4 linked regions of the Drosophila melanogaster genome follow. The protein of the gene in region 1 interacts with the protein of each later gene in a pairwise test. Each region holds a gene or a part of one and is shown in the gene's direction. Other genes may lie near its edges.

The links.
Region 2: the proteins of CG12589 (region 1) and CG10365 interact in a two-hybrid assay, tested with the Drosophila melanogaster proteins (one large-scale study listed by BioGRID).
Region 3: the proteins of CG12589 (region 1) and LpR1 interact in a two-hybrid assay, tested with the Drosophila melanogaster proteins (one large-scale study listed by BioGRID).
Region 4: the proteins of CG12589 (region 1) and Vha36-1 interact in a two-hybrid assay, tested with the Drosophila melanogaster proteins (one large-scale study listed by BioGRID).

The regions. Positions count from the first base shown.
Region 1 is NT_033777.3:5,134,449-5,142,471, reverse strand, and holds CG12589 (uncharacterized protein), read left to right. Parts: upstream 1-3,482; 5' UTR 3,483-4,858; intron 4,859-4,898; exon of another isoform or gene 4,899-4,977; 5' UTR 4,978-4,994; coding exon 4,995-5,285; 3' UTR 5,286-5,415; downstream 5,416-8,023.
Region 2 is NT_033777.3:23,719,427-23,727,901, forward strand, and holds the start of CG10365 (uncharacterized protein), read left to right. Parts: upstream 1-3,904; 5' UTR 3,905-4,232; exon of another isoform or gene 4,233-4,303; intron 4,304-8,475. Other genes in the region: CG10232 (uncharacterized protein), read right to left, coding at 50-449, 514-1,093, 1,150-1,287, 1,344-1,514, 1,575-1,751, 1,935-1,998.
Region 3 is NT_033777.3:25,756,035-25,764,550, reverse strand, and holds the start of LpR1 (lipophorin receptor 1), read left to right. Parts: upstream 1-4,228; 5' UTR 4,229-4,348; intron 4,349-5,265; 5' UTR 5,266-5,374; coding exon 5,375-5,759; intron 5,760-8,516.
Region 4 is NT_033778.4:15,536,475-15,543,347, forward strand, and holds Vha36-1 (vacuolar H[+] ATPase 36kD subunit 1), read left to right. Parts: upstream 1-4,960; 5' UTR 4,961-5,062; coding exon 5,063-5,803; 3' UTR 5,804-6,024; downstream 6,025-6,873. Other genes in the region: CG30471 (uncharacterized protein), read left to right, coding at 21-386, 448-994, 1,051-1,176; CG30467 (uncharacterized protein), read left to right, coding at 1,840-3,045, 3,104-3,463; CG8187 (uncharacterized protein), read right to left, coding at 3,556-3,929, 3,983-4,166, 4,226-4,798; eIF2Bgamma (eukaryotic translation initiation factor 2B subunit gamma), read left to right, coding at 6,280-6,430, 6,484-6,873. UniProt on the Drosophila melanogaster protein: Subunit of the V1 complex of vacuolar(H+)-ATPase (V-ATPase), a multisubunit enzyme composed of a peripheral complex (V1) that hydrolyzes ATP and a membrane integral complex (V0) that translocates protons.

The DNA.
Region 1 (8,023 bases):
CCGAAGGGATTAATCTTTTAATAGGAACTCGATTTAAGTAACTGCGCGCTCAACGGATGTAATCATTGGGACACTTAAGCTGAAACAACTGTGCAGGTATATAACTGTCTAGACAGGGCTATAGGCGCTGCCTATTGTTTAAAATGCTGTCTTGGAGTTACATTGAAATGTCTTCAGATTGTGAAGCTCAGTTTTTCACAAAGTCACTCTTTAATTGAGGCTTAATTGACCACAAATTCCATGTTATTAATCGGGTTAATTGAGAACTATTTCCCAGTGAAGTGTGCACTTCAAAGTCCGTGGAAAGCCACAACTAATAACCCCGCATACTCGTATAGCAACCACACAGAAAAATCACTTTCTTTTCCGAGCTGCTTTTCCCAGAAACATAACAAGGTGAAGGGATGACAAGCTAGGGAATTGTTTCCAATGAACAGCAGGGCTCTTTTCAGAGAACTTGACTTACGAAGAAATAATTTCTATGCTCGGAATGTCACAATGCGTATAAAGGGAATTAAAATAACTAGTTCGATGCGGTCTGAAAAGTAATATGGTGCACTATTCAGTTAATGGAATATTGTGGGCTGTTAGGTAAAAACAAATTAATGGCTTGTAAAGAGGGGATCTAAATTGTGCTCCCTTCCTTACTATATTATAATTTTGAAATTTCTCTCTAATGACATATTAACTTAACCACAAAAGATGTAGCCCAATACAACTTTCGCTGGGCACTTCTTCTCCAACTATTGTGTGCCCCTTTTCAAAGCCGATTTGTGCTAGAGAGTATTTTTAGGTCGAACCCCTTGAAGGGAAGCACCCTCCACTTGCCTGATGTGCTCGGGAATTGTGCTAGTCCGCAAGTCGCACCACACTCGACATTAGCAGCATGTGACTCCATGTTGACAGTGGTTTTCATGTCGTGTATCTTTATGTCTATTTACTTGTACGGCCAAGTATCTTTGTATCTCGCCGTGCGGGCTGCTACGCTACGGCTACGGTTCAACAGTTTACTGCCGCTTCTGCTGCTTGACCCGCTAAGGCCAGATTACGTGATTTGTCCCGTGCCCGCCGGAAGCACATCCGTGCAGGAGCTCCGGGCGGACCGAGGGCCACCCTTTTGGGGTCGGATGGAGATGGATGCATCCACGCAGCGATAAGCGGAGCAAGATTTCAAAGGGCATACAAATTTAAATCACGTCACTTAGGACGGGCGATTGGAAGGGGGAACCAGGCTGGCGACATCACAAAGAAGCAGCTACAAGTCCGGACATAATGGGTGCCATGTAAATAGTTTGCCCCGACAGAGGCACACGGTTTTGCCCGATTTCCGGGTGCGGATTCGAGTCCGTGCACTCAGGAAAACGATTTGGAGGATTCCCATTTTAAGTTTGGAAAGCAAAAATGATAAAAAGCCTTTGGGACATTTAATAGAAAAGAGCACAACTGCTTAAAAAAGCATATACTCCTTTTGTGCGTTTTCACGTCTTTAACTAGATGGGCAGTTCGGATTCTTTGAAATTTTGATTACGAGTTATTAGCAGATCACACTGTTTCGTCACATCGTTCGCTTACTAAAACTGATTACACTGTAAAATTATTCGTATTCTTTTATTAAACCAAATTCATTTCCTTAAGTAAAATTTCGAGCAGTGTAAGTTTGGTTGGTTTGGGTAACAATAAGGTTTATGGCTCTGTACAGGGTACCACAAAACATTACCAATTATTATATTTCAGAGTAAATATTTGAGTATTGATAATAATATGAATAACATGAATTTTCCTTCGAGTGCGCCTTGCCTTGTGGCTGCATGTTGGTCCGTGTGAGTTTGTTAAGCTGCTTTTGAGGCAGGCACTCAGGCACAGGCCGACCACACACAGGAGCATCCGGAGTCCCGTGGTCCCATAGTCCCATAGTCCCGTAGTCCGGACTGCAGAGCCCATAGTCACAGGACGAATTCACGTGTGCGTTTGTCTCCGCTCCTTTGCGAGTGTGAGTGTGTGAGTGCGAGTACGAGTGTGTGTGTGTGTGTGTGTGGGTGCAGGACGACGGACATGTTGCTGAGGCGCGGCCAATGCTTGTTACGCTTTTGAGCCCCCGCCTGCGGTTGACAGAGCACGTTGAACCACCCACTCCGCTTGGTTCGAGCCGTGCACTTAGCCATCCGCCACCCACCACCAGCCACCCTCCGCCCATCGAGCCATCGTGAAAGCATCCAAACAGGCAGCTTTTCTGCGGCCTGATTCACATTAAAACGCAATTAAAGTTGCAGGCGTTAATTGTGCCGCCTGTGTTGCCTTTTTTTTAACCTTTTCAGCTTTTTGCCGTTCGCTGGTTGTCTTTTTGAGTTAGCTGCCGAAAATTAATTACTTTTGCCCTGTCAAAGTTTCCAAAGTCATTGGAAAGGGGGGAAGCGCAGATATTACGCGAGAAATATAAAATACTCGGCAACTATGAGTAGGTGTGTTCTGGAAATCTATTTACCTAATAAATTGTTGATCTTTGAGAGAGATTCATTTCAGAATTATGAATTATTTGTCCTGTATTCGTAAGCTAAAAACATGAATCCGATTATAAAGCCTTTTTTCTTATAAATCTTAAAACAATTCTACAGAACTTAAATATTCAGTGCCTTCATTCCGTGAAACGACACACATAAAAACATGGCTTTCCTAAATTTAAAATAGATTTTAATGGAAGTTCCACTGTTTGTTTGTAAATGGGAATGCTCGCATGTGAATGTCTCTTAATGAATCAAGTCCATGAATAAAGCCGCAAGTGGGGCTTTTTTCGACTTTTGCTGTGGCATAGCACTATGCGGTGGGCCGGAAGTAAGTGGGCGTGGCAGAAGTCGTTTGGTGCTAATGGGGAGCCGGACACACACAGATATGCACAGATATACAATGATATACAATCGTTCGCTGAGTTTTTCTCGTGCCGTTTCTTTAGCCAGATGTGTAGTAAAATCCTTTGGCTGGCAACTTTATCCTTCGGCGCGGATTCCCAGAAGCAGCTGTTGTTCTTCTTCCCCTTCACTGACGTTGCATTCTGAAAGCGCTGTTTATATCACAGCTTTTCTTATTCCTTTTCATTGTGCCGCCCGTTTTTCGCTTTTGCAACCGTCGGGTGGCTGGCTTAAGCGCCAGTTGCCGGCGACGTGCCGCTGAAATAATTAAGTTGCCAATCCCGGCAGGCTGAATATCAACAGACATCCAGAAAAAGCCAAGATAGAGATGCAACTGGCAATGGAAAGGGTTGCAGGCTTAAACTTAGGTTCATAGATTTTCAATTAGCCTGTCAGGATGAAAGCAGCAGGCGTGGATTTTGTTGTGCTCGATTTTTTTTTTATTTTTTTTTTCTCTTTTTATTTACAATCTGTCTTAAAAAAGTATGACAATAAGTAAATTTTATAATTAATCTTAATTTAACAGAGGCAGTAGTTATCCATTATCGATTTTTAAAATTTATTTAAAACGTTGTTTGGCAAATTGTTTAAAGTCAAAGGTGAGAGATGAGCCACTCCGTATTTGCAATCATCATCAGTGCTATTCCGCAAAGCTCGGACGGCCTTAAAATTGGGCTTTATCCTCGCCTTGGCAACATGTCGCATGCGTATTATCCAGAAATAGCCTCAAGTGCCTGCACCACAAATAGAAAACAAACAGCCAGCCTGCCCACACGCACACTCCCCAGCAAATAGACAGCTTGTCAAACTTTTCGGTTAGAAGGAAATGCGAAACATTCCTCGAATATTACGCATACGCACGGCTGGCGGCCACAACACCGCAACTAAGGCGTTTTCTGTGCATAAGATGTCGCCGGGCAAAGGAAAAGTGAAAACTGCTGCAATTTCCACCACCATTCCGCCCAGTTCACATTCTTTTGACAAGAGCCGTTGGCCTTGTCTCTCGACGAGATGCTTGATCATTAGCATCACAGTCGTAGTGGAGTCGCAGCAAATTGCTATGCTATGCAGTGCGCACTTGGCGAAATGCATTCATGATTTTAGACCATTTTTCCAAAGTGCTCAAATACCGTCAAATATCTTAGGATATCATTTAGATTTCTTTCGAACTTTACTTTAATTTCCGGTCATCCGCCAAATTTTCGGTCATCCGTAAAGTGAATGCCTGACATCCGAATATTTTTTTCCGTGTGGAACGTGCTGCCAATTTACGATTCAGACGGCGCTGCGCCGCCCGAAAAGGAACCCCAAACGATGCAACTGGGTCGGCCGGGTGCAATGCAACTCGTACTCGCACAAAGGAAACAAAGGCACTAAGTTGCGGCGACATGTAGCGCTTTAAGCTGTGGAGAGCGAGCGAGGCCAATGAATACCAAATGAATCGATAGTGCGAAATCGAACTCCGGGGGCAGCGTCAGCAGGGCTGGCATTTTTCTGCTCGGTCGAGCCAGGGTGCGGAAAAGCAATTTCGGTCTGAGCCACCTCAAGTAGCTGCCGCTTTCCCGCCTTTCCAGCCTTTCGTGCTTTCCACTAGGCCAAACGATTTGAAAATTTTACGAACGCACCACTGCGCATTGCTCACAACCAATCGAGGGCATTAGCTGGGCAAAAAATACAAGACATCTTAACCAAACACGGAGCAAATGTTCAATTTCCAAGTCAATCAACTAGAAAAAGTTGCACTCACTCGCTGCGGAAATCTTTTGCGTATAGGTTTCCGGCATGGAATGCTGGATTCTGGGCCCAAAGTTCTTGCAACTCGGAATTAAGCGATTAGATGGAAGTTTGCCACCCAGTTGGCACGCTTAAATTATTCCAAGTTTCCGCTTCTGTCGCCAGCAGATACGCACACTGAAAAAAACTGGGACTCCCACAACTATATAGAATAGGACATAGTATGTATTTGCTTGGCTCTACTTCCAACATGTGTTTAAAATTTTTCAAAAATATTTTGTTCAATTGACATATGTATGTATATTCATTACCAATATAACAATTTACCATTGCTGTGTAGCACACATCAGTTGCACAATGGACGCGCATTCCACAGCCGTCGCAGGCATAGATATGGAACTGGACTTCGGCGAGGACATGGATGAGCACGGAGAATTGGAGAAAGTGGGTCAGCCTGAGAATTTGGTAGCGATGGTGCTGCGCCTGCAGGCGAACCACGTGTGGATCCGGGAGCAGCTGACTCACCTACAGCGCCGCCTGGTGACCCTTCGGCTGGACAAGCAAAGAAGCTTATACGAGGGAAAGGAGCGGTTACAGCGACTCCTGCTGAGCTTGCAGGTGAAACACGGACGCCACTGGGCACTGTAGGGGAATCGATGGACGATGGAGCTCGGAATTCAGGTGACGAAAGTGTAAAAGTACAAGCGAACTATCTTGGTGAAAGATGATGTAATGATGTTCTCAACTTCGTATTAAATATAGTGGTTTTAGAAAGCTTAATCATAAAAGCCTCATTAATGTTAAATTAAGAACGAAAATTACTGAGAAATAGTTTCATAAAGTTTGCAAAGTAAACGATGGTTATGTCCAGTCTTTCTTTTGTATAAATATTATACCGTATATATTATATTGATTTCAGACATAAGTTTAATACGCAGTGAAAAAGACTTTGCCGACCATATATATTTTACTATAAAGTACATATTCTTGATCAGTAATAATATCCTAGTCGATAGAGTCATGTTCATATGGCATGAATCTTTCCCACAACTTCTATTTTTGCTGCTGGTGGTAAATAAGGCTAAGTTGGACCATAATATCACAAGCAGCCACAGGAATAATCGAAAAGTGAAATCATATAGTTTTGATTCGTTACACACTAGTATTTTAACAAATATTTAATTACTGCAAAGGCTTGGCTTATTAAGAGTATTAAGAAGTTTTACACGGCACTTCCACGAGTCCTTTCAATTATCCAACCTGATGACAGCCTGATGACAGTCCCAGCCGAACAGGAAGGCCAGATTTGTGGCCCACACAATCATAATTGTTGAACAGACTTGTGCGTTCGGATGTAAACCAAGTGCCGTACTTAGGCACTTAATTCATGCGACTAACACACGCCACACAATGCACATTGCCCGACAACAAATAGCCCAAAACCCTGGTGACATGGCAATCAAAGTTCGCCTTGCAGTGCGCCGCTCTGCGTAACTCAATTAACCAGACACCAAGCAGCGGAGGTCGAGTGCATCACTTAACTCGAGATTAACCCTTGACTGCCGCTGTCCGCGTCCTGTCCCCTCCAATGACGTGCGGCGCCTGGGATGGAACCTACTCGCTCCTCGTCGCATCAGCCACTTACACGGGCCCATTGCTGTTTAGCAACTATTTATGGAGACAAGTAGTTGCCACTTGCCACCTACATGCTCTACAGTACACAGAGAGAAACTGGGATCGATAGCAGCAGATGCCAACCTAAATGGAAAATCTTCGGCAGTTGTCTGTACAACTGTTTCCGAATTAATGACCACTATATGAGTGGTTTTTCCCAGTGTATCTACGACCGAACGGCAACTGCAACGGCCCACTGTCGCCGCATTGTAATGATATGCCTTCCGGCCTGCTGTTTCTGTTCTACACAGTTCTGTTCAGTTGAGTTCAGTTCTGTTATGTCCTAGCCTCGAGGGTCCTTGCCTGTGGATGACACCTAGCGTGTTATCATTAAACACTTGGAGTGTGAACCGAGCGGGGTCGAAAGGGGGAACTTGGACCCGGTCGGACAACTGACATCACTTGAGTGGACCATAAACGGCAACAAATGCAAATGCAAATGAAATTATTGCCGCCGCAGCTCCATTTCTCTGAATGACCAACGACCCCGACGCCGCGCCGGAAAACTGTTTGCATATGCAGGCGCACGCCCACAGATAGGCCACGCCCCGTTACAACGAAACCGCCCCCACCGCCCACCGGAAGCGCCCTTCAAACGGGCGGCACGAACCATAAAGCCATTGGCGACCGACTGCATTTCAGCGATATAAATATTTATATAAGTTAATCGGTTTATGGTGCACGAGTAATTGAATTTCGCGACGGCGCCAGGTAAATGCAACCAGGTAGCATGTAACTCGGACTCCCCATCCCTAAATCGGGTGTCACGCGGCTCGAACGATGTTGCCAAACGAAAACGGCAGGGGCCCTTTAAACTTGATTTCTTACTTTGTGCATCCGTTTCCGCACGGCCCATTTGAATATTTTGGGTCACGGATTTGGGGTATATGGGCTCAAGGCTCAGTTTAGTTCATCTTTGTAGTGTTCTTGCTCTGACTGCTCTTTGTTTGTTGTTCTGGAAAATAATATATTCAATACTCAACACAATTAAATATGGCCAACTGGTTCATTTAACATAAAATATTTTAAGCGCGCTTTTGATGCAGTGATCGATATACACGCAATGTTCTTACCCATTTAATTTTCTTTTCCGCAATTTTTGTAGAAAGAGTGTGGTATGCTTTTATACAAAGCATCAATCAATACAATCTCAATCTATTTCGTAATAGTTTTAATTGTTTTTAAAAAGGAATCTATCAGTAGATACTAATTGTGCTCTATATCATTTTAATCTTGAACTTTAAGCCTTTATCACTGGAAACATCATAAATTGGATTTCTATTAATATACGAATTACGTGGGAGTGAAATAGTCTACAAAAGACCTCTGATCAACCTCTACTCATTATGGACCGTAAATATAGCTTAGTTTGGAGTAGTTCTCATCTGAGATATATAAATATAAAGAAGTGGACTAAACACCTGCTGGAAAGACAAAAGTGAGAGCTCGTTACCCAATTAGTTTAATCCCTGGGGCTAAACCGAGAACCGGGAAGAGCATTCCTGTTTACACATCGGGCTTGCCACCCGGGCGCACTCCAAGCCACCCGGCTGCAACATGGCGCCAACCGGAAATGCCGGCCGCGCAGCATGGACGCGCTGCCTCGTTTCTATGGCACTTCCGCTTTACTGCGCATTAATTGCAATTAAATTTGGCATTACTTCCCCGCCCCCAGTGAAAGTTTCACGATGGCTGCAATTTTTGTACGCTGC
Region 2 (8,475 bases), about 19 Mb from region 1:
CACATATTAACAAACACCATACACTAGTCGAGATTCCTTAGCAAGAAAGTTATGGCTTCAAATTTGCCTTTATCCATGAGAAAAATGCTCCAGTCTTTGTGTAAACACCTGGTTTTCTATCTCCGCAATTCTCACTTCCATATGAAACGATACCGGCCAGATATACGATATCCTGGTAATCATTATTAAGGGTTAACATCAAGGGACCTCCGGAATCACCCTCACAGGAGTCTTCTCCTCGAATGCCAGAAGCACAGATTTGTGATTCGTTGCGGAAGAACGATATCTTGTCTTGGCAATAATATCTGTTTTCATAAACGGTGTTATGCAACAACACCTGACTATATTCTCTGTTTTTCGTGTAGCCCCAACCGGCGATTTGCAATGGGTGATTATGCAAGGGGATGGGATCTTTCGGCACACAAATCGGTAGAATTTCGTGGGTATATCTAAGGAAATAAAAACTTTGGTTCATAATAGTCAGAAAATGATGCCTTATATTGCAATACTCACCGAACTGGCGTTTGAAGACGCACCAAGGCGATATCGCTTTCAAACCTTGAGGTGTTGAAATATTGTTCGTGGACATTGAAATACTCGATGCCGATCTCTACAAAGGGGGCAGCGCAGTTTCCTGTAAAGTCGCAATCCGGATTGGTGGTAATATCATGCTCGCCCAGCCGCACTCTCCTGAGCACCAAATCTGTGTTCACCATTTTATCCTTGACCACACAGTGTGCAGCGGTGAGGACGTAGCGTTTGTTAATCAGGGAGCCACTACAGTTGTTGGTCATGGTCGATAGTCTGCGATTCTCGTAGATAAGCATGGCCATCCAAGGATATTCATTTGGCCTCGCCGCTGTGCCATATGCCATTCGATAAAGAGGCGGAGCTTGTCCACAGGACGTTGGTAGAACGTTACCTGGTTCCGGGCAGCAGATGTAGTGGCGCTTATCCGAATCTATTCTTCTGGTATCGATGGCACACTGTCTGTTATCCATTAAATTGGCCCCATCTTCCATCGTAGTATTATGGATACGAAGACACTTGTCCAATCTTATGCATTTTTCATCGGCTGGACAATCTGGAAATTCTATAACTATTTCGATTAGTAAGTGGTTAAATGATAGACTTTTGTTTTGCACTTACCCTGCTTAGGACAGCAGTAGGTATTAATGCCGCATTGCCTGCTCATTAATATGTTCTGGGCCTTTTTCCGTTTAAGCTTTAGAAAAGGGCAGCTATCGCGGCTTCTACATATCTCATCGTATTGGCAAGGAAAAATCTCTGTAAGGGCTAAGAATTAGTAATCGATAGATCGGGTATTATACGAAAAGCATTACCTTGTCTTTGACAGTTTACGTAGACCCTTCTTCGTACCAATGGCTGGAAGTGATCGATATAACATATTTTATTTATTATGGATTTCAAAATATCACTCGTCCATTTCCGGCCATTAAACTGGGGACAGTCATTGAGCATGACGCATTGTTCATTGGATCTTCTTTCATAGCCTGGTAAAGTTCGAAATTAGAAAATAATGGCAAAAGACTTCGATTTGGTCAGCCATTTACCTTCTTTTCGGCAGCAGTAGCTATTATAACCACATTGTTTGTCCCGCAATATTGCTTCTCTGGCCCAACTTATATCCGCCGATTGCAGAAAGTATTTCAAGGGTGGGCATGCTTTAAGGTGTGTACAGTCCTCATTGACATCACACTTTTTCCATGAATTGTAAACCTGCAACTGAACTGAACAAAATATGATCCGTGAAATACATACGTGTACAGAATATAAAAAAAATGGCTATTTGTGCGACTTTGTGTTTCTTGCCACGCACATTTTGAACTTCATTGAACTCTTAAAATGATTATGATAATGATAATGATGACTGAAAAGCAAATTATTTCAACACTATTATTAATTATTCGTACCACGCCCAAATGACAGCGACAGTAGAAACCCTTGTATAAGAAAGCAAACAGATACTTCGACCATGTCAATATGTGGACGTTCAAACTTCGACTGTTCTTAGGATGAAAGTTTGACCATTAGCCAAAATGTATCATATTATAAATTCTGGGAAATATAGCTGGGTATATCCGTATATCCATTAGTCATATGAAATATCTAGAACTGGACTGGAATGGCAAGTTATTTCGATAATTTGAAATACATAAATTTTCACTAAGTGTGTGTTAATAATATATGGTCAATTATCACTCTGAATTATTAATAAGCAAATAGCCAAATTGTATTGGAAAGCAATATGATGACTTAATTTAAAAACTTTTCACTTTTTATGTACGCAACTTATAAGTATGCGTATGATCTAAGAGCAGTGCCGGATTGAACTAACTCGGATTTCAGACGCTGTCTGCTTACGAACCCCTGATCGCTGAGAAAGAGTAAAAAAATTATTCGAAAACTTAGGATTTAAGAGTGTGAGACTATGTCACTGTTTGTATTTATTATTTCAAATCCGTCGGTTATCTATCCATAAAGTAATTATACATAAATCAAAACCAAGATGTTATTTTCTTATATATATTTTGCTTTATTTTTGTTTGCCGTAATTTATTATAATTTCTTATCGAAAATGGATTGTTCCTACGCTACGGATGACTACTAATAATATTTTATTGTATTTGTTTTACGATTTGTTTACAATTTGTATAATAATATTTAAGATCCCACACATAGAGGGCGAGTTTCAAGACGTATGGAAAGCATAGTCAACAGATGGCGCTCTAAAATCTTTATTTGGATAGCCGGCAACGTCACAATTTTTTTTCAAAATATCTGGCGGTTGAATGAAACTTTTATTAATTAAGGCATTTTACCTGCGAAACGTTAAGAATATATGTATACATAAATAAAAAAAATTAAATTATATATGACCACATTAAGGTAATGTTTTAATTTCTTTTTATAGTTGCCCATTCACGTTTGCGCTTTTGTTTTTCTGATACAAGGGATATGCGTGAAAAGTCCGCACTAGTTTCACAGCTTTTAACTGACGCAATTTCAACGAAATTTAGTGCATGATCTTATCAGACGTACATAGTATGTGCGTGTCTATTTTTACCAAGGTAACATCTGAACTGGAGGTTGTTTTTTTGCCATCAGTCAGCAGCTTGGCAATCAAGACTGCGACACATCACTTTCCAATTAGAGCAATTAAGATCGAAGTTCTCCAATTGCACCTGTTGTTCAGTTTGTCTGTTGCCTGGTGGCAATGTGCTTTTGCATGTCGTGCTTTCCATTCATAAAATCGAGCTGCATGCGGCAACGGTGCGTATGAATTACGTCAGCCAATGGATGTTTGTGGGTTTGTGGAGCATTCGCCATTGAGAGTGGAGATGCGTAACTTCCCGTCTCCTCTCTGCGCGTTGAGAGCGCTTCAGAAGGTGTAGAGACAGAAAGAGAGAGAGAGAGAGTGGGGCAGCATCAAGGAGCTTCAATATCAAAACTACACCGTACAAAAATAATAAGTAAGTCTATTTAGTTTTATTTTATTAGTTTTATTTAACCAAAAAAAAAATCGTGCGCAATTACTTTTAATTTACATTGGTATTCAAAAAATATATACACATTATGCTCTTAAATTACATATGAATATTAGAAAATGTCAACATTTTCTTCAGTGTTATTTGTTGAACATCAATGTCCTTTGTGTTCTTCAAATATTAAATACTTATCGTTAATAATATATGTATGTATATACATACGTACATATTTATGTATGTATGTACTTTTGCCAGGACTGGTTTGTAAAGAAATCAGTAATTATTTTACCGTTTATGCTCGCTCAGCGAAATTCGCTGAAGAGTTGAAGATGGGGTGGGGAAGCGACGAACGGGAAGCTTGGAGCATTATTTGAGAGCGAAAAAACGGCGCAATTCTCGCACTTACATTGGAACCGTCGGTGGGGACGGTCGCACTGCTTCATCAGTCAGTCCGAAAGAGACACCGCGATAGTGTGCAAGTGAAAAGGCGCTTGTGTTATTGTTATTGTTTTCATTACAAGGCGCGCAACCGAGTGCGAAATGCTAGTGTTGTCGTTGCCCCGCTGAATGGCGCAACGGAATGAAAAAAGTGATAAAACCAGAAAACAAATCGAGTCAACAAAAGCGGAGTACAGTGCAAGAAACAGAAATTGATAAGCATAAAATTAATGAACCCTCGTAAACGCCACCGTTGCACTTTCGGAAGCGGTATTAAATGGACAGGTGGGCAATTGTGCATCAAATTGTTGCACTTGGAGAGATCGGATGTACGTGTGTACATACATAGCTGCTATGTAAGCTCATATGTGTGTCAGTGTGCCAAGTTGGGAGCTTTCAGTGTCAACACGTGCATATACTATCTCATTCGCTCCTATTTACCTTGCTGTTTATTTACAACACTTTGTTGCTGTAATTACTCTGCCTTATCGGTGTGTGTGTATGTGTGTTGTTGTTTCCTGCACTCCGTTATAATTCGCTCACTCTCTCGCTCTCGGCCTGTTCTCTCTTACTCACACCCTCATCCTCCCTCTCATTTAATTCAAAACGTATTTGAATTTATTTTCGTCTTTGCTTACTTTTCTTGTATTTACATTAAATACCTCAATTTATTGCCCAGTCACTGTGCATGCAATCCGTTGATGCAAATCACCAGAGCCTGAAAATGGTGAAAATGCATTTAGAAATCAGCAAAACAAGTGAAATTGCTACTCATATAAACATATCATTAAAGAAATGCCAATTTTAAACTGGCTTATGATATGAAAGTACCCTATACCCTATACTATTAATGCTAGTTAACTCTATCAGTAAGACTTCTAGTCTCAGTATTTGGCACGTACCTTGAACACCCGAAATTCGATGAATATTTCGAATTTCGGGTGTTTAGATTGCATTATTCATTCCGAAATTATTTAACTTTAATAGCATGCCTTTTTAGTTTTCCGCTTTGGTATACGTATTGTACGACGTGTAAATTCAATGAAATGAATGTGTTTACAAAAATAAAAATAAAAACTAAAGTAAATAAATGCAAAAAAAAAGGGGACTAAGTACAGCAAATATTGATTAAAACTGAACGTATTTACACTCAATCATTTACTTCTTCATCTTAGAGCACACTTCCTCTCAAATGCTGATTCTGATTGCTAAATATATCTTTGAATGCATGCAGCAAACATCATCATTAAAGTTAAATATAAGCTGTGTGCTTAAAAATAGTTTGTAGTTTTGAATAAACAAGACAAATCTGCGAATAAGAGAGCCACACGTGTATGTCCACCTAGCCAACAGGATTGGATAGTAAAATGCGCAAAAGAAAGTATTAAGAGGTCGGTTTTACGCGGTATCTTATTTTTGTGATTCTTCAAATTAGGCCAGATGTGTTAATTGATATATGCTGAAAAGTTGTTTACCTTTCAAGGCTTTTGTTCAACCGGACTGTCTGGCAAACTCTTTAATCTGCCGGTTGGCTGTAGCTCGCTCACACGTCTAATCTTCTCTATCGAGGGGGTGCCATACCGTACAGCCCCTTATCAGAGGCCTTTCGTCTCGAAACCCAAGTCGGAATGAACTCTTATCATTTTAGCAAAAAGTATATGGCGATAGCAAACGCCAACGCGCGATTGTAAATTACACACTCAAGTTTTTTCAGTCTGCTTGGTTATTTATCAATAAAATGTAGTCTAGGCCCTTGTCGAATAAATTTGATAATTTTCAGAGGGGCAAAAAGCAACAGATGGAGAATTATTAGCCACGTTTAGCGCACAATAAAATAAAATATATTTTTAATTGTTTAATTAGAAGTGTTAAGCCAAGTAGCCGGGTTTATTATTTTGTTTTCAAGTGCCTGTATGTATATGAATTCTATCAGGCACCAAAGTAAATTAATACTCAGAAGGCTTGTGTGTTTAATTTGATGTTAAAAGAGTTATAGATAATAATACGTAAGTAGTGTATGTAATTAATAAAATGACTAAGGATTTTTTATGAGAGTTTTTTTTAGAGGATTGAAAGCAATATGGAATTCAATAAAGAAATAAGTTTAAGGCGTCTGAATTTAAGTAACACTTATCTGGCTTAAAGAAACAAACGATGAAGACATGATAACATATTTAGAGGGCGTGTTATTAAGTAACATGCAGTTGTTTTGAATTAAGGCCGACTATTAAGAACTTTAGATCACCTAATTCAGTCCATTTAACACCCTGTCAATCTCAATTGTGATTATTCGCCGGGTGATGAAAGCTAAATGAGCGAATCACATATGAGATAAGCGAGACAAAAATTTAGTCAGCTGCACGTAAATTCCCATCCAAAAGTGCTAAGCCCTGATCCAAAAACGCCAGCTTTGCCCATCTGGATGGAGAATTCGTGTACGTGCATGTGTGTGTGTGTGAGTTCGTGTGCTTTGTTGATTTCGACGAATTTCAGTCTGCCGCCACCATGATACACTTTTATGCCCCCCTAAAAAACGTACACTCGTATGTTATGTACATTCTTCATACATACATCTACATGTGATATCAATGGGCTTAAGGCGTTCTATGTACATACATAGCTAACGGAGCCCAGAATTTGTGTGTGCTCTGCGCCTGTTACCCGAAGCAAACAAAAAAAAAATGTAACTTGCCCTCTTTCTGGGGAACTGCAGACCAACTACTATCCCACACTCATACACGACCGATAGGAACTATAGATTGCTGTATAAACAATTTTTGAGAAAAATTTGCTAACCTTGAACCGTTGGCAAAAAACTTTCACAATGAAAAAAGTTCAGTATCAAGGACCCAGAAATGTGTAGCGAGTCGATTTCGGAGCGTTTTTCATATGGCAAACGAGCAGTGGCCAACGCTGCGTATACGTAACCAAGTTGTGTGGTGCAAAGAAAAGTCTCATGTGAACGTGTGTGTGTGTGTGTGTGCTTGTGCTTTTGAGGATGTTAAATATCGTAAGCATCTACATATGTATATGTATGTGTGCATGGGGATGTGCGTTTAAGGTTTTTGAACTTGTTTTCGGTAATTTTCCACCATCCAGCCTGTTTTTGGGTCAATTTATTTATGCTAAAATATATCGAAACCCGAAGAAGAAGATAAAATGATTAAAAATACACCAGCAAATATAAAAATCCAACAAAAAATACTGGTATTTAGAAACAGCGTATGAAAACAGAAAGCTCACAACTACTTAGAAATTCCTTCGGCATTTCGGAAAGGCGGCAATCAAAACAAAGTGTGCAAAATGTTTAAGTTTATTCATATATGTACCTAATACATATGCATGAGTATAAGTGCTACACGCGAAATAAAATAGCTAAAAATACAAACAAATATGCGCACGAGAGTACAAATGTACATATATACATTGTTACGCTGATATATCGAGCATGCCTCGTTAATGGGAGCCATCACGATACCGTGGTATGGCAGCCAGGGCCCTACACAGATAAAAATTCCGAAGTCCACATATTTTAAAAAATATTAAAAATGCAGAAAATATTTAAACAAAAATAATGTGTTTGACAACAAAATTTTTTGAAGCGCGATTGATTGTTTTAGATTTATTTATTTGGTTTCCAAAATATGACATACAACATTTTAACGATATACATTTTCGTTTGTGTACACTGATGCAAGCATAAAAATCAAGTATACGTACCGTCGGCCATTTGAAAATATTTCTACTTATGTATAAACAGCGTAGTTAGCAAAGCGAGAAGATTGGTCACACATATTTAATAAAAGGCTATGCCGCTTTCCCCTCTCCCCTCTTTGAACTTGCGAAAGTAAAACTTAAATGGAAATTGTATTCAACGTGAAGAACTATAGATGCTCTTCTGAGAATAATGATACGTTAAGACGACGGGTAATGAACTCAGAAAGAAAATAGTGCTAAGCAGATAGCAAATTATCTTGGACACGACCATTCTTCAATCCATTTTAAAAGATTAGGTCTCTTGGTGCAAACGCGTTAAATGGCTTTATATATAAATAAAAATAAAAACAGATAGAAATACTTTGCGATAATATCGTAAAGTGCACTTGGATCTAGACTTTGGACGCGGGGGAAATGCTTCCAAGCTTAATATAAATAAAAAGTGATCTTTATTTTGCAATAATACAATCATGGAAGGGCTATAAATCAAGTAATAATCTTATCAAAATGAGTCGCAGCTTGTTGGCTTTCATCTAATCGGTGTAATAGTTAGTTACAATTGGGTGTTAAAAACAGTTGCCTGTTACTAAGCAGACATGATTTATTCTTTGGCATTAGGAAAATGCGGGAAAACAACAATATTAAGCATCATAGCAAATAGCAATAAATATCAGTTGAAGTGATTTGTTTTTTCTTTCTGTCTCAATGGTTTTATTAATAAATATTAAGGCGACAAAGATCTTTATGGCCCATGATTGGCAATTTCCAAAATCATTTCTTAATTTGCAGCATTTATATATTTATAATTATT
Region 3 (8,516 bases), about 21 Mb from region 1:
CATATATGTACTTATTTTTAACGATTTATGGTTGAAAATATTTTGTCCTGCTTATTGAAATTCAAAAGGGATAAACTGCTGACTTCTCCTCCCGTCGCCACGCCAATGTCCTCTGGCAACACTACAAATAGTTGGGTGAGTGGAAAGTAGCAGAAGCGACCAGACCAAGTCGCCGCGGGGCAAAGCAAATATACTACCAACAAATACCAGCCAGCAAAAGCCAACAGCCGACACTTGGCCAGGACTTAGTACTACTGGTGCACAAGGGGAAAATGTATTATACTACTTTTTGGAAAGGAAACAAGAAAAATAACATTGCTAAATAAATAATAAATAATGAACATTAAACAATGGCTGTACATGTACAAAAACCAATAATTGTGTTTACTTTCAATGAACCTTTAGTTTTAGGAATGACCCATATACGATTTCAAAAACTTACCACAGACTTGTTAATACAAAGTATCTTTTGGATACAAATGCATCTCAGCAGTACAAAAGTATCTTTCAGCTAATAAGTTACATAACTTTCGCTCAGTGTACCTACTCCTTTTGCTTCTGTTACTACTTTTGATTTTGCTGGTGGTGCTGCTTGTATGGTTGTTGCTGCCCTGCAGCGACCGCAACGCCTCCTGCCGCAACTTTTGCTGCCACACTATAAATATAACATTAATTTTTATGTTTTCATATTTAGCAACGCTTCGCTGGGCAGACAAACACACACACACATAGTCGAATACCCCGAAGCAGTAGCGCCCATAAAGATATGGCCATTGAATGACGTTTATGAGCGATAACGCTGACGTCGCCGCTGCGCAACACTCACTGTTAAGCGGTTAGCAGTGGCTTAACAGCGCTTTTCCAGCAGCATCCACAACTGTTTCGTTTGGTGGGAAAACCTCTGCTAATGCGCCGCGGTCGCTGCGACTGCGACGCCGGCTGTGGCAGAGGCTGCTGCGTCGGCGACTTCTATTGTCATTTGGCACATGTGAAATTTACCGTTACTTCTTCGCTCATTCATTCGCTGTTTACATTCGGATTCGAAGACTTTTTCCAATCGCGCGCGACTTTCGAAAATATATTCCATTTGAATTTTCGATAACATCCGCGCCACTGTTACTTCCATACGATCATAGAAAAATATATTTGCTTGTTAAAATTTTCACAAAGTATTTAAAAAGTGAGAATATATGTAAAAATGTTGAAAAACTATTTCTAAAATTCTTATCTAAGAAAAAAAGCATGTAAAAAGAAACGCGTGGAAAACTTTTCGTTTCTACCTAATGCGTTTGACGTTTTTTTAATCAAACTCACTGCACTATGTTAATTAGCCAAATATGGTAATAGGTAATTAAAGCAACCCCCTATGGGGTGATGTGATTGGAAATGGTAAAGAGACAGACACTTCATATCCACTACACAAAAAAAACCAACGACGAACTTTCAGAACCGCGTCGATAGTCGAGTGGATCGGAACCAACAAAGTGTTAAGAAATAAAATAATGAAGATACAATGCATAATATGAACTGTGAAGTGCAAGGACCACACAAAGTGTTCATAACGCAAACAAAATAATAATCAGTGTATATCAGTGCAAACAATACTAACGAATTCCCTGGAAAATCGCAGCAAAGTTCAATTAGACCTACCACAAATGAGGTGTAGACGCCACCGAGTTGAGATCTTCAGACATTGTCTATACGTAGACCAAATCGAGACTTTTGCCATAACAACAGCAAACATTGGGTCATGTAATTCCCAACTGCTCGTATAATGCCCTGGTGTTGAAAGTGTAGAAAGGGCGTATGGAATTTGGGCTTAATTTGATAAAGACTTAAGTCAGAATTTCCGCTTTGGAATTACTCGATCAATGCACTTAAAATATTAATTTAGTTCAAGTGGAACTACAGTCTTACCTAATTATCATGAATTTTCAATAAATACGACAACTTTTATGATCGTTTATTTCTAAAACTAATTAGTTTTTTATGTTGCGATGGTTATTAATATTTCTGCTCGCTTAATTCGATTTTTTTAAAATATTTCTTATATTTAAATTATATAGCCAAGGGACTCCTGTTTCGGTATCCGAAAATAGCGATTACAGTCAGGCCACTTAAAGATTAAAGAACACTGATCATTATCTGGCCAAGCGATAGTTGATAGATGGGCTGGCCCTTCACGCCTGCCAAAACCACAATAGACACATATGTATGTATTGGTGTATATATATATGTACATATGTTTTCCTAAACTCACACTCGACAAAACTTGAACACACGGCACGGGGCTGCAGGGCGATAAAATGCAGTGTCAATTGAAGTGCTTGATTAGGCGATTTGCGAGCGATTCGCCAGCGATTTCCAACGCCTGCAATTAGAGACGGCGGCGCACTGCAAAATATACAGAATGGTTGGCAGGGGCGTTGGTTTGGTGGGGGTTTTCCGACGGCTCTGTCATTCACAAGCATCGCGGGGTGGTGCTTGAAAAATGATTTACACGCGCAAATCATAAATTATGCCCATTTCAAGTGGACCGTTACGCCGGAGAATCCATGACAAATGCAGATGACGCCCAAGCACCGATGACGATGGTGATTGCAATGCAATCTAATGGCTGATATGATGGTGATTGTGATTGCGGGTTTGATTGAGATTTCCATTGGTACTGGGATGCTGCTAGTGCCGATAATTGTTTTGAAGATGACGCATTTTAAATGACTGACCCTAACCGAACCCATTGTCCGCTGGCTGCGATTTTTCACCGCCTCTTATCATCGACGTCAGTCAACGCAACTCTAACCAAGCCAAAAGCCAATGAAATCAAATCCACGACACTCCAGTTCAATTTCGAATTTCACACCACTTTCAATCGGACCCACACCTGGTTTGATTGAAAGCGGCGACACTTTCAATGCTAATGAGCTGCGATTCCGTTTACCAATCGCCGAAAGGCATTTCAGTTCGCATCGGTCTTCGCTGGGCATCACACCGTAAAACCTTCCGGGTCCCAAAAAAAAATCAAAAGAATTAAGTATATTCAAAATACCTATTTGATACCTGGATATAGTTTCGGTGGGCCCATGCAGAACGTCACGACTGTCGTACGATTATCGGCACAATTCTCACGTCCGGTTGTCCAGCTTAATTAAAAAATATCTTTGTTTTTCGCACTGATAAACGCGGTGGCAACGCAAAAAGGAAGTCTAGATACATACAGTCTGAAAAACGTATTTTCGTACAGTACGATGTTTAAAAGTGATCTCTGTGTGCTGATTGTGATCTCCTTGGCGTTTTCCTTACATTCAGGTTGGTACTGTAGAAAATAGGATTTTTTCCGAGGTCTGAAACTGCTCTTAATTCGGAGCCCTTAACCACTTATTTTTAATTAGACTTTAATATCAGATTGAATAATTGGCTGACCAATTACATGTACATCTAAGTACACTTTGTGCGATTACCCTATATAACCTTTGTTGGTTCGCAAACATCATTCTCAAGTTAGCACTTGAGTCCTTCTTTTTCTTTCTCAGGGGATATTTGCCCAACTTGAGTATAAAATAACAAAACGTATTTTTAAATTAAAGTGGATTCTTGGCATTACGACAAGATAATTATCACTACTTATTCAATATATTTCCACGGAATTCTGTCTAGTTGTGAAATCAGTCGCAATATTCCGAAAGTAGTATGATCCCTTATCATAAAAAATACTTTAATTTCTAAGGCGTAGGTTTATAACTTAAGAAATGATTGATCGATTCTTAATAGCTGGGATTCGTTAGCATGTTGCTTTTGTTTTTTAAATAAATTATCTCAGTTGAAGAAGCATTTAAAATTCTTGTAGTTTTTAAACAATGCTTCTGTAATAGTTGTATCTATAGATCGCCCAACGATTCCTTGCCCAATCTATCCATTCACATCAACGTACGCTCCATTGATCACTGATCAACTGGTTTGCCTTAAGAGCACCTTGTACGTTAGTAATCTTTTGGGGAGCTAAGAGTGGAATACAGCATCGATTAAATTCAGAGAGTGCTCCGATCTGCCAGATCACTCTTTATGTATCTCTTCGACGGGGTCTGGTCAGTTTCTTGTCAGTTTTGATAAGGCCACCTTAAGACGGTGCAAAAACAAGCACAATCGCAAACGACAGTTACTCTCGGCTCTCGAATTAAAATCGCTGGCGATTCGCTTAAATTTGCAGGCCAATTCTCTAAGCGAATTCAGTTGAAAAAGGCGCGTTGTGCGAAACGGGCATCACAGTTTTTTGCGGTTTATTTTCAACTTAAAAACCAAATAAAAAACACAAAAGAAACAAACAAAGCGAAATAAAAACAAACCTCATGTAATTCAAACATTCTACAGATTTAAATGCAATGATCTGTTTCTGAAATAAATTTGGAAAGACGCGATTAGCACGTGCCGCACATTCGCAGACACCTTGAAAATACCGCAAAAATAAATCAAAATAAAAGGCAAAACTGATAAGAGTTTATTTATCCGGGCGATTTGACGCGTGCTAGCTACAAATATCGGCAACAACAATATTTAATTAATTTATTTGCGCGATCGGAGGGGGCGTGGCCGTCCGCTCAACTAAATTTTAAATTATACTTCGGCTTTATTAATTGCCAACGTCAACAGAAACGTTTTTGTTTCTCTATAAAAATTAAGGGAAAACTTGTTTTTCTTGCTAATATACAATTATTATCAAATATTTTACTTATCGTTTATAATTTCCATATTTTACTCAAAATAAATGTTATTTCTCGTTAAGTACATATATAATTATTTTCAAAGTTTAATATATAAATGAATTTTCTGTGTAATTTTATGCGTTGCTTTTTTTCTCTCTTCGCATTTTTCGGTGATTTTGTTGTTGTCCGATATTTTTGCTTAAATTTTTTTTTTTCGGCCTTTTCGGTTTTTGTATTTTTTTTTAGCTACGTCGCGTTTTTGTGTGTCGCACGATTTTCAACCAGTTTCTTCAGTCTTCTCATCTCGAAATAAGAAATGTGAAGAGAGACGAAAGTAAAAGAGAATTGGCCGGATCGTGTGTTTATTTTATTTTTTGGCTGGCAAGCGATTCTTCCAATGTTTTTGCGTTAATGCTTGCGTTTATTTTTACGTTGACGCTGGTTCTTTTGGCCATTTCTCTGATTAGATAATCTCTGGCGAAGATCTCACGCTTCCTGCTTAGATAATCTATTCAACCAGGGTCACCAGAAATCACCCCACTTAATTTTCCCCTATCGAATACAGTGTCTATACAAACCTTGTAAGATCGAAGTGATAAAAGTGTGAAAAAAGCATTAAACAGACAGCATAAATTAAAGCAAAAGAAGAGTGAAGGCAAGCAAAATACCGTACCATGGCCATAGAGTCACGCTCTACGAGCACTGCAAGTGAAACCACAAAAACCGCCATAAAATCAACCACAAGCTCAAAATCTCCAGTAACATTCGGTAATCTCGGCGAGAAAAGACGCGCCGAACAGCTGTTCCGCTGCGCATGCGCCAACTTCAATCTCCTGCTCCTGACTTTAATGCTCGGATTCGGCAAATGCTGCACTGCCACGCCCACGCCGCTGAACACGCCCTCAACGAACACGCCCACCTCGGCAGTTAGCCCACATAATCCACAAACGCTGGACGAGAGCGGATCGCTGAGCAAGGTGATCGATGGCAAAGCCTTCATCAACATGGGATTCAAGTTCCTCAACGTTTCCGGAAAGATTGGCACACCCCTCGGCATAGGTGAGAAATGCATTGGCTGATTGAAAAAACCGGCGAAAATAGCGAAAAACCAGAAAAAAAGATCGCACAAGGGGGGGCACAAAGTGCGATGTTTGTTTATAGCCTAGCTTGTGCTAATTTTAGACCACAGATGTCGTCGAGGTTGAAGTCGAAAATGAAGTTTGGATACCCTGGCTTGGGGTATATATAAAATGATTCATTTAATCTTTTCAACTTGATGCCTATTTACAAATATGTAAAATGAAAAAAAATTTGTATTAATAACTGCGTTGTAGAACAAAGTAAAGTACTTAGCTTGAGCTGATAACTTAAAATTAAAGCGCGTGCAATCGAATTACAATTTAATCGTTAAAGAATTATCAACCAATGCTAAGAAGCTTTTCATTAAACTTTATTAAGCTGATAGTGTTTGAGTATTTAGTTATTAAATTATCCCCAAGCCATTGAGCAATGTAAACGATTATTTCAAAATATTACATTATCTTCGCAACTCCAAGCAATCCTCTTTGAATGGAAAGTAAGCAGTTTTGACTTATATGAGTCAATAATAACATTTAAGATATATGGCCTTTCCATTATACTGCTTAATTTATAATCATCACAATCTTGGTCACAAGGGTATCACCTGCATGTCGAGTCATTCAAATGGCTTTGCTCACTTCACACTTCGTGCACTTAAAATGGGCTCAGTTAAAAAGATACAGATACAAGCACTAATGCAGTTGCAGATACAGATACAAAAGTGCACCTTCCACTTGTTGCACACACACAGACGGTATGCGGACCTACTGTTACCGTGGTATCGAAATAGCCGAGAATTTTTTATCCACTTCCGCATTGATTTCCGCCTGGCTGACCATCGAGAATCTGTATCTTCTAATGGCTAAGCGATAGGAAAAGCGTTTGGCGTCTATCTGTGACGTTATTTTGTGGCGCGGGGCATTCCAATCATAAATCTAACTTTAAATCTAGCCACCTGTTTTGGCCAATATGGATTTACGTTTAGTGCTAGCCCCGAACTGGGGATTATCTTATCGGTCAATTTTACGATTTGTTTTTATGCATTTTTCGACCGCCGGGATTTCGCGACTTGAAGATAAGTGGACAATAAAGGGCAGTCAGACAATAGAAATTTCCTTCTATAAATCAAGAATTAATGGATTGATAGTGCAAGGAGCTTTGAATTGGTGCCATAAGTCATTCAAATGATCTTGAAAACATATAGATAAAAGAATATGAAGTGTGAAAACTACGATTGTTATAAATTAATATTTAATTTTTAAGACGTATTAGAGCAGTTATCCTAACCAAAATAATTTATTTTTATTGTTCACACATTTTGGTTTGAAACTATTTTTAAATAGCTAAATTTTTTAAGCAGTTCGCACTTTTGAAAATCAATCAACATATTGAGTGCCAAAAAATAGTCTTAAGGCTAAATCTGCCACATTTACTTGCATTTTTGTACTTTGCTCTTGGGAATCTTGGACTTTGCTCTATATATTATAAATTGTTGACAAAAAAAAACACACATTTTCTTAAACATCTCACAAAAAAACAAGGCGCATTTCAGAGATATTTGTATCAGAAATTGACGTAGTTCAGAAAATCGGTGCGCCATCCTACTGCGATGCCTAATTTAAATTTAAATATAATTTTTTTTTTTTTGGCTTTTCAGTATGCAGTGTACTAGGAAAATTCACATAAATATAGACCGAGTCGAGCCCCCAATTCTCAGTCGATTTGCGTTGTAATGCTGCCCATCAAGGGGCATTATCTCTTTGATATTCTCTTTTTCCCTGCTGACTTATTGTTAATTCCATTTGATTTTTCACGCTTGAAAGTTGCTGTCAGATAAATTAACATATGCTTGATATGATATATGTACATATGTATGTTTGTTTGTGCATATGTATATGTTCGCATCTATATGCGATGTGGCAAGGTCGCCGAAGAGAGGCAGAAGTTGATTCAATTTTTATTCGTACGCCCCATTTCGATTCAGTTTTTAATTTATTCGCTGTGCCAACAGATTTCTCTAGCATATAGAACTAGCTGGTGCCAGAACCGATGGCAAACAAACAATAACAAATTAATAGTGGGCGTGCTCATCTTACGTAGAGAGAATGTTGATGCAGTTTAATTGTTTTGTTTGCTTACTGTAAACATGTTTTGATTGATTCAACTATTCTTGGGAAATTGTTGATGCATCAAATCATTCTCTATACGGGCCGCATCCCCCAGGAATCACGTGTTTTGTCATTCCATGTATAACATTAAATTCATTCAGGCAATTATCAATTATCAGGTAATCCATTAACCTTGATTTTGACGCAATCGGGGCGCTGAGTTTATCAAAGGCTGTGCTCCCAGTTGAATTAATATTAATTAGTGTTAAATCGGGGAAAAAGAAAATAATGAACTGATTTCGTTTTTTTCCCAGCAATTAACACCTTGCTCAACCAATATAGTCATATCAGTTTTTCCCACAGTTATGATTACTTCTTAGTCTAATATGACCATGTGATAAGGGCTTATCAGCAATTTTTTGGCACGCTGTGTCTATTGCTTTTTATTTTTGTTTTTGTTATATACTAAAAAATAATCGTATGATGATGACAACTTGCAGTTTCTGATTTTCGAGCGGCGAAGTGAAGTTTATTGGGTTAAGCCAACCGGATTGTGTGTGGACTTGTTTTCGCCTCTACGATTAACAAAATCATTAGCTATGCTAAGCAGTTTGCCTATCGATATGGT
Region 4 (6,873 bases), on another chromosome or scaffold:
GAAAACAAAAAATTGTCCAGTGGCTTTTTGCAAACGTACAACTTCCTGAGAAATGAGCAGCAGCTGGACGCAGTGCGTCGCAATGGCCTGTGGGGCAATGTGAAGCTCTTTGGCAAGCTGCTGTTCCATCGCTACCTGAGATTGGGTCCTCTCTACTTGGTGGTGATGGGCAGCGTGGACTTGGCCTTCGCCTACATCGGAGACGTTTCCGTTTTCCACATCAACGAGAGATTCGACGAGTTGTGCCCACAGCACTGGTGGAGGAATCTACTCTTCATCCAGAACCTCTTCGATCACCGCGAAATGTGCGCCAATTGGAGTTGGAGCCTCGCCTGCGACATGCAGTTCTTCCTGCTGGCAAACATCGTGCTCTTTATTTACGCCAAGTGAGTTTGGATTTAAAATCGCAAGGAAATATATTATTATTTTCATTATATTTCTATCCAGGCATGAAAAGCTAGCCAAGGCAATTACACTCACTGGACTAATGGGCACGATAACGTGGTCCTACGGCATTGGAATCGCCAAGAAGTTCGAGTTCTCCTTCGACTCCACCTATGCGACTGGCACTCAGATATACACGAGTCCCTTTGTAAGAGTTTTGCCCTATATCGTGGGAGCCATAGCCGCATGGTATTACCAGGAGCAGCGATTCCAAGTGAGTGAGCTGAGTGAACGCCGGATATGCCGGTGGTGGCATTTCAGTCTCAAGGTGTTCGTGGGCTGCATCTACTCTACGGTGAAGCGGGATCTGGGTTACCTTATCACCATATCGCTATTTGTTCTGGGTCGCGCTCTGTTTTCCCTCACCATTTGCTGGATGATCGTGGGCAGTGCATCGGGTACTGGCGTTTGGTGGTCACGCCTGCTGGAGGCCAAGTTCTTTCAGCATTTGAACCGCCTGTCCTACGCCATATATCTATTAAATCCCCTGGTGATTGCCCTCGTTTACAGTCTGACCAGTACGAGCTCTGCAGTTGATCCCTTTCTGCTGGTAAGTTGCATTCTCATTTGATTTTGCTTTTTAATAATATTGAGTTGTTTCTTTAGAGCGTCATCTGCTGCGGGTTTACGATGATCGTTTATCTGGCCTCCATCGCCTTTTCGCTGGCTTTTGAGCTGCCCTACAGCAATCTGTCTAGTTTGCTGCTCAAGGGAAAACCAAAAACCTCATAAACTGTGATTACCTTTCATTGTTAGCATTACATCTAAGTCATTTATTAATAGAAAGTTATGGTTATAAAATAATGTTATCTTTTATTGGAATTTTCGAATTTAGATATAATATTAAAAGAATAATATTATAGCAACGTTGCTGTTGGAATTTTTGAATTTAGTAACAAACATACTAATAATACGATATTTAATAAGTGTAGGCGCCAATGTTTTAAATTTCCTTGTGGATTCCATTGGATTCCACAACGTGTGGTGATGATTAGGTTTGCACCTTCACTAACTAATGAAATCCACACTTTTGGTTGCTTTCAAAGAAGTTAAAGGTAGTTTTGGTTGTTTTAAGTTGTAAACTGATATTGTTAACCAGCTGACTAACTTTCCCAGTTCAGAAGTATCACACATTTGAGCAATATATTTAAACGATCAACCCACCGAAGTGCGAGAAAGTGTGACCTGCTTATGTAAAAGTGATTTAGATACCGAGCTTTTCCGAACTGACTTTTCCAAAGCTTAAGGTATTTTTTATGAAAGAACCAACGGACCCACTGACAGCGTCTAAAAAAAAAGATCTTGTCCAAAATATATTGATTAGTACCACTGCCATTCTGCATTCTGCCAAACGAACCCGTTAAACAGTTTGCCCAGACCCGGATCCAGATCGAAATGCCCAAGGAAGAAGCGGAGCCATCGGCGAGTGGTCTTGCGGTGGCCGCCAAGCAAAACGATGTGCCATCCGCGGAAAACTCGAATCACAAGGAAAGCGACGCATACGCCTCCGCCTCTGCCAGCGCCAGTAGCGCCTCGACCACGCCCCCACCCGCCCAGGAAGACGCCGAGGAGGCGGAGCTGCTGGAGCGTATGCGCGGCGATGCAGTCGGCAACACCATGTACAGCAGTCGATTCATCCTGAAAACGGTGATGAGGGTGGGAGAATTACTGCGGCATTCAACACTGGATCAGCAGCTGGAGGATGACCTGTGCAAAGTGTGGGACATGTCGGTGTCCCCCGAAGTGGTCACACTGCTGCTGGAGAACGGAGCCATTGATCCGATCATGTACACCCTGGTGGCGGGCTGTGAAGATGTGCGGCTCTACGAGATTCTTATCGGACTGCTGGGCAATATGTGCGCCCAGGTGGAGTGCGCAGAGATATTGGCCTGTGACCGCTACACGTTGGAAACCCTGTTCAAGATGACATACTGCATGGACACCGCCATGTTGATACAGCTGATGCGACTCTTTCAGTACATCATGGCCCATGTGCTTAGCGGCAAGGAGAAGTTCGCTGTGAACTGGTACATCTGCTTTGCTGCCTTTGAGAACTCCGCGCAGAACCTGGGCAGGATATTGCAACTGTCCGTTAGCGATGAACTGCTAGTAGCTGCACTGAAGGCCACAAATGCTGTGCTGGCCAGTTGCGCCTTGGTGGAGGAGGAAAACGCAAACTCCACGTTGAATCTAAAGCCTTTTGCGGAGGTCTTTCTAGTGCCAGAACTCTGCGAGGGGGTCAATAGCGCGTTTTTGCGACTCATGCGCGATGATCAGACAAAATTGACCGACGAGGAAGCTGGCGAGGACAACGAAGATGCAGAAGTGCCAGCGGCCCACGACAGTGATGAAGATGCCGACGTCGGTTACGACTCGTGCGGACCAAAAATAACCTGTGATGTGGAGATCATACAAACCTACCTCAATATATGCACCATTCTGGTCCAACTGCCAGAGGCGCAGGCCTCCATGGATGTGTATGCACCCAGTATAGTCAGTTGTCTAGCGCGAATACTGCAGTTTTTGCAGCAGCCTCTGCAACTCATTCCATTAGGCGAACGCCAGGAGGAGTATCTCGAGGATCTGGCGCACATTTGGAGTGTAAGTTTGGAAAAGATACTTAATATTCGACGTTCTATTTAAATATTTATTTTTGCAGCGCCTGAAGTACTTCTATCACAAGGAGGCCTTCTTAAATCTTTTGGAATTGTGGTATAGACTTAAACAGCACATTGACAACTACACGGGGGGAAGTGATCCCGACGCCAATGAGTTCGAAGAGGACGAAGAGGAGGAGGATGACGCTCCAAAGGAGCAGTATGTGGAGAACGCCTTGAAGTTGCTGCGCCTGTTGGCATGTATGGTGATAAAAGCGGAAAACTCGGATCTCCAAGAGATTGGCGATGAAAAGGTGCAACTGTTTGTGTCTGCACTCAAAGCCGGAAAGGAAGAAGCCATTTTCTCAAGGGCACTTGAATGCTTAAAGGATAAAGTGGCTAAGGAGTCGGGCCAAGCCTAAACAACATGCCTCCATGATGGATAAAGCAAAAATGACTGAGATTGTAGCTTGCAGCACAATATATTCTTAACTTAGTTAGTCTCTGTCTTTACCTAAGGTAAATCGTCCAAGGTGCCGGTAGCCTTCAACTTATTACGCATCATATCGCTCCATGACTGTTTTCCCAGGCGCACGCCCTTGTCGCCTGTGCTGCTTACTTCCAGTCGATTTGTATTTGGATTGCTTAGCACGAATTTGTTCTTGCTCTCGTTGAGAGCATGGGCTACATGCTCCAGTTCGTTTTCCAATTTCACTTCGGGGGCTGTTACCTCGATGTGAAGATTCTGCTCTATGGCTTGGGAAATGTGTATGATAGCCTCTTCTAATAAGTTCTCGGCGTCGATTTTGTTGCTCCCCACTAGCTCAGAGAGTTGGACATTTAAATTTCCTCCTTTGGTAGTTATTTGAATATTGCCATGTACTCCAGCTGAAATTGAAAGTTTTTAGCATGATGGTGTTATTCTTCGTTGTTTCGCATACTCATATTGAGATCCGACGACTGATGGACGTGCACTTCGCTGCTTTTGTGGACATTCTTGAGCTCCAGACGCCCAGTTTGTGTCTGAAACTTTGACTTTTCCACATAACAACAATCGGTTACAATACTGCCAGCTTTGGTGGAACAATTCAAGCTGTCTCCTTGCAACTTATCCATCGCAATGTTCTAAAAAAGAAATATAAAGGTTAATAATAAGATCAGATTGATAGTAAATTTTTTCTCACCCCATTTTGTGACTCTATTTGGGTAATCTTGCCCAGCAATGTGCCCTGGCAATTGATGTTGCCATTTTCACTGTACAAGTTTATATGGGTGGCCTTGATATTTTTGGTAAGGATGCCTTCCTTTGCTTTGACTTGCAGCAGTTCACTCTGTATGCCTTCCACTCGCACACTACCTTTTGCGTCCACAGAGACATCGGAACGCACAGGTATTTGCAGATGGCATTCAAGCTTTGAGGGCTGCTCCGCCAGTTGTTTAACCACCACATTGACCACCTTGTCCTCATCGGTTACCTTCACATCGAGAGAGACATTCGAGTTCTTGACATGGCCGCCAACCAGTTGGGCGATAAACACATCCCCGCTGGTATACTGATGCACATCCGCGGGCTGGATGCGCAGGAAAACATCGGACTTCACGTTGATCCTGGCAAAGGGGTTTACATAATGCAGGATCTCCTGATGGACCATCCGCATGCTCACGGCCATGGCTGGTTTGATGTGGGCTCGCGACTTGTTCGCGTATTGGCGTAGATGGTTGTTTAAATGTGTCAACCACACGCGTTGCAGAAGCATTATAAATCCAATAAAGAAATGGAATTTATTAGATTTGTTTACTTTTAAATGCAAAATCAGCTGTGGCTGCGTATTTTGCAGTACTGTATCTAAGCGCACTACCCAGCACCAACTGGTTATCGATTGGCTACGGGCAGTAGCCAACACTGTCATCCGTCATTTTCCAGTTGGAGTTTTTCAGTGTTCTGCGACGGTTGCAGTTTTCTTGATACGCAGTTGAAAATTGTTTAGTCCAGCCAATTACCATCCGAAAAAAACAGCAAAATGTCCGGAAAAGATAGGCTACCGATTTTCCCGTCCCGTGGTGCCCAGATGTTGATGAAGGCCCGTCTGGCTGGAGCCCAGAAAGGTCACGGTCTGCTCAAGAAGAAGGCGGATGCCCTGCAGATGCGATTCCGTTTGATTCTGGGCAAGATCATCGAGACCAAGACCCTGATGGGTGATGTTATGAAAGAGGCAGCCTTCTCGCTGGCGGAGGCCAAATTCACGTCTGGCGACATCAACCAAGTGGTGCTGCAAAACGTGACCAAGGCCCAGATCAAGATCCGCACCAAGAAGGACAACGTGGCTGGTGTCACTCTGCCCGTTTTCGAGTCCTACCAGGACGGATCCGACACCTACGAACTGGCCGGTCTAGCCCGTGGTGGTCAGCAGCTGGCCAAGCTGAAGAAGAACTACCAAAGCGCCGTTAAACTGCTCGTGGAGCTGGCCTCGCTGCAGACCTCATTCGTCACCCTGGACGAGGTGATCAAGATCACCAACCGTCGTGTGAACGCCATTGAGCATGTGATCATCCCCCGAATCGATAGGACTTTGGCCTACATCATCTCGGAGCTGGACGAGCTCGAGCGTGAGGAGTTCTACCGACTGAAGAAGATCCAGGACAAGAAGCGCGAGGCACGCATCAAGGCCGACGCCAAGAAGGCGGAGTTGCTGCAGCAGGGCATCGATGTGCGCCAGCAGGCCAATATCCTGGATGAGGGCGATGACGACGTGCTGTTCTAAGTATTACCTTGGATGTGTTTATTCCAGCAATATTATTGTTAAACTATTTTCTGTTCTGTATCCGTTTCCATATTGTAATTCGCAAAGGGCAAGCCACAAACTTAATTGTACCTATGTAGCAAAAGTGTGTAGACTATTCCAATAAGCAGAAAAGTATGTATTCCATTTTTGTAGTGTAGTGTAAGCTGCGCAAATCATGCATTAAAGTCTTGTTGTATCATACGATGTGCATTCTGTGTAATAATTAAGTGGAAAAAGGGAATTTTCATTGCAAAAAGGGTCATCTGACTTGTTTTATACAATAGCAAAAGCAACAAAAACAATTGCACAGTCACATGACAGCAAACATATGTCTGATTGGAAGCAGTGTTGGACAGCGCTCGTAGGTGTTTCGCTTGCATTGGATCAGCTGTTTGCGTGGCTCTTTTTGTGCTTGCACGCTTTTTAGCCGAAATTATTTATATTTTTGTGAAACAATGACCGAGTTCCAGGCCGTAGTTTTTGCCGCTGGGCGTGGCACTCGTCTACCCGAGGTCTTGGGGGATGCCCCCAAATGCCTGCTGCCGGTGGGTCCATATCCTCTGATTTGGTATCCCTTAAATCTGCTGCAACAACACAACTTTACAGGTAATTCGGATAGTCTGAATTAAAAACCTGGATTTAATTGAAAAATATTTCAGAGGTCATTGTTGTGGTACTGGAGCAAGAAAAACTAGAGATCCAATCTGCTCTGGAAAACACTCCCTTAAAGCTGAGACTGGACTATGCCACGATTCCTAGTGACGGGGATTTCGGAACTGCCGACAGTCTGCGCTACATATACGATAAGATCAAGTCGGACTTTCTGGTGGTCAGCTGCGACCTGGTCAGCAATGTCAGCCTATATCCGCTGATCAACAAGTTTCGGGAACATGATGCCGCCCTTGCAATGCTCCTATTTCCCAGCGGATTTGAGTCGGACGTTGTTATGCCCGGTCCCAAAAGCAAGCACAAACCGGAAAGGGATTTGATTGGCATCCATGCGGCCACTCAGAGATTGGCTTTCGTATCCGCCGCCAGTGACTGCGAGG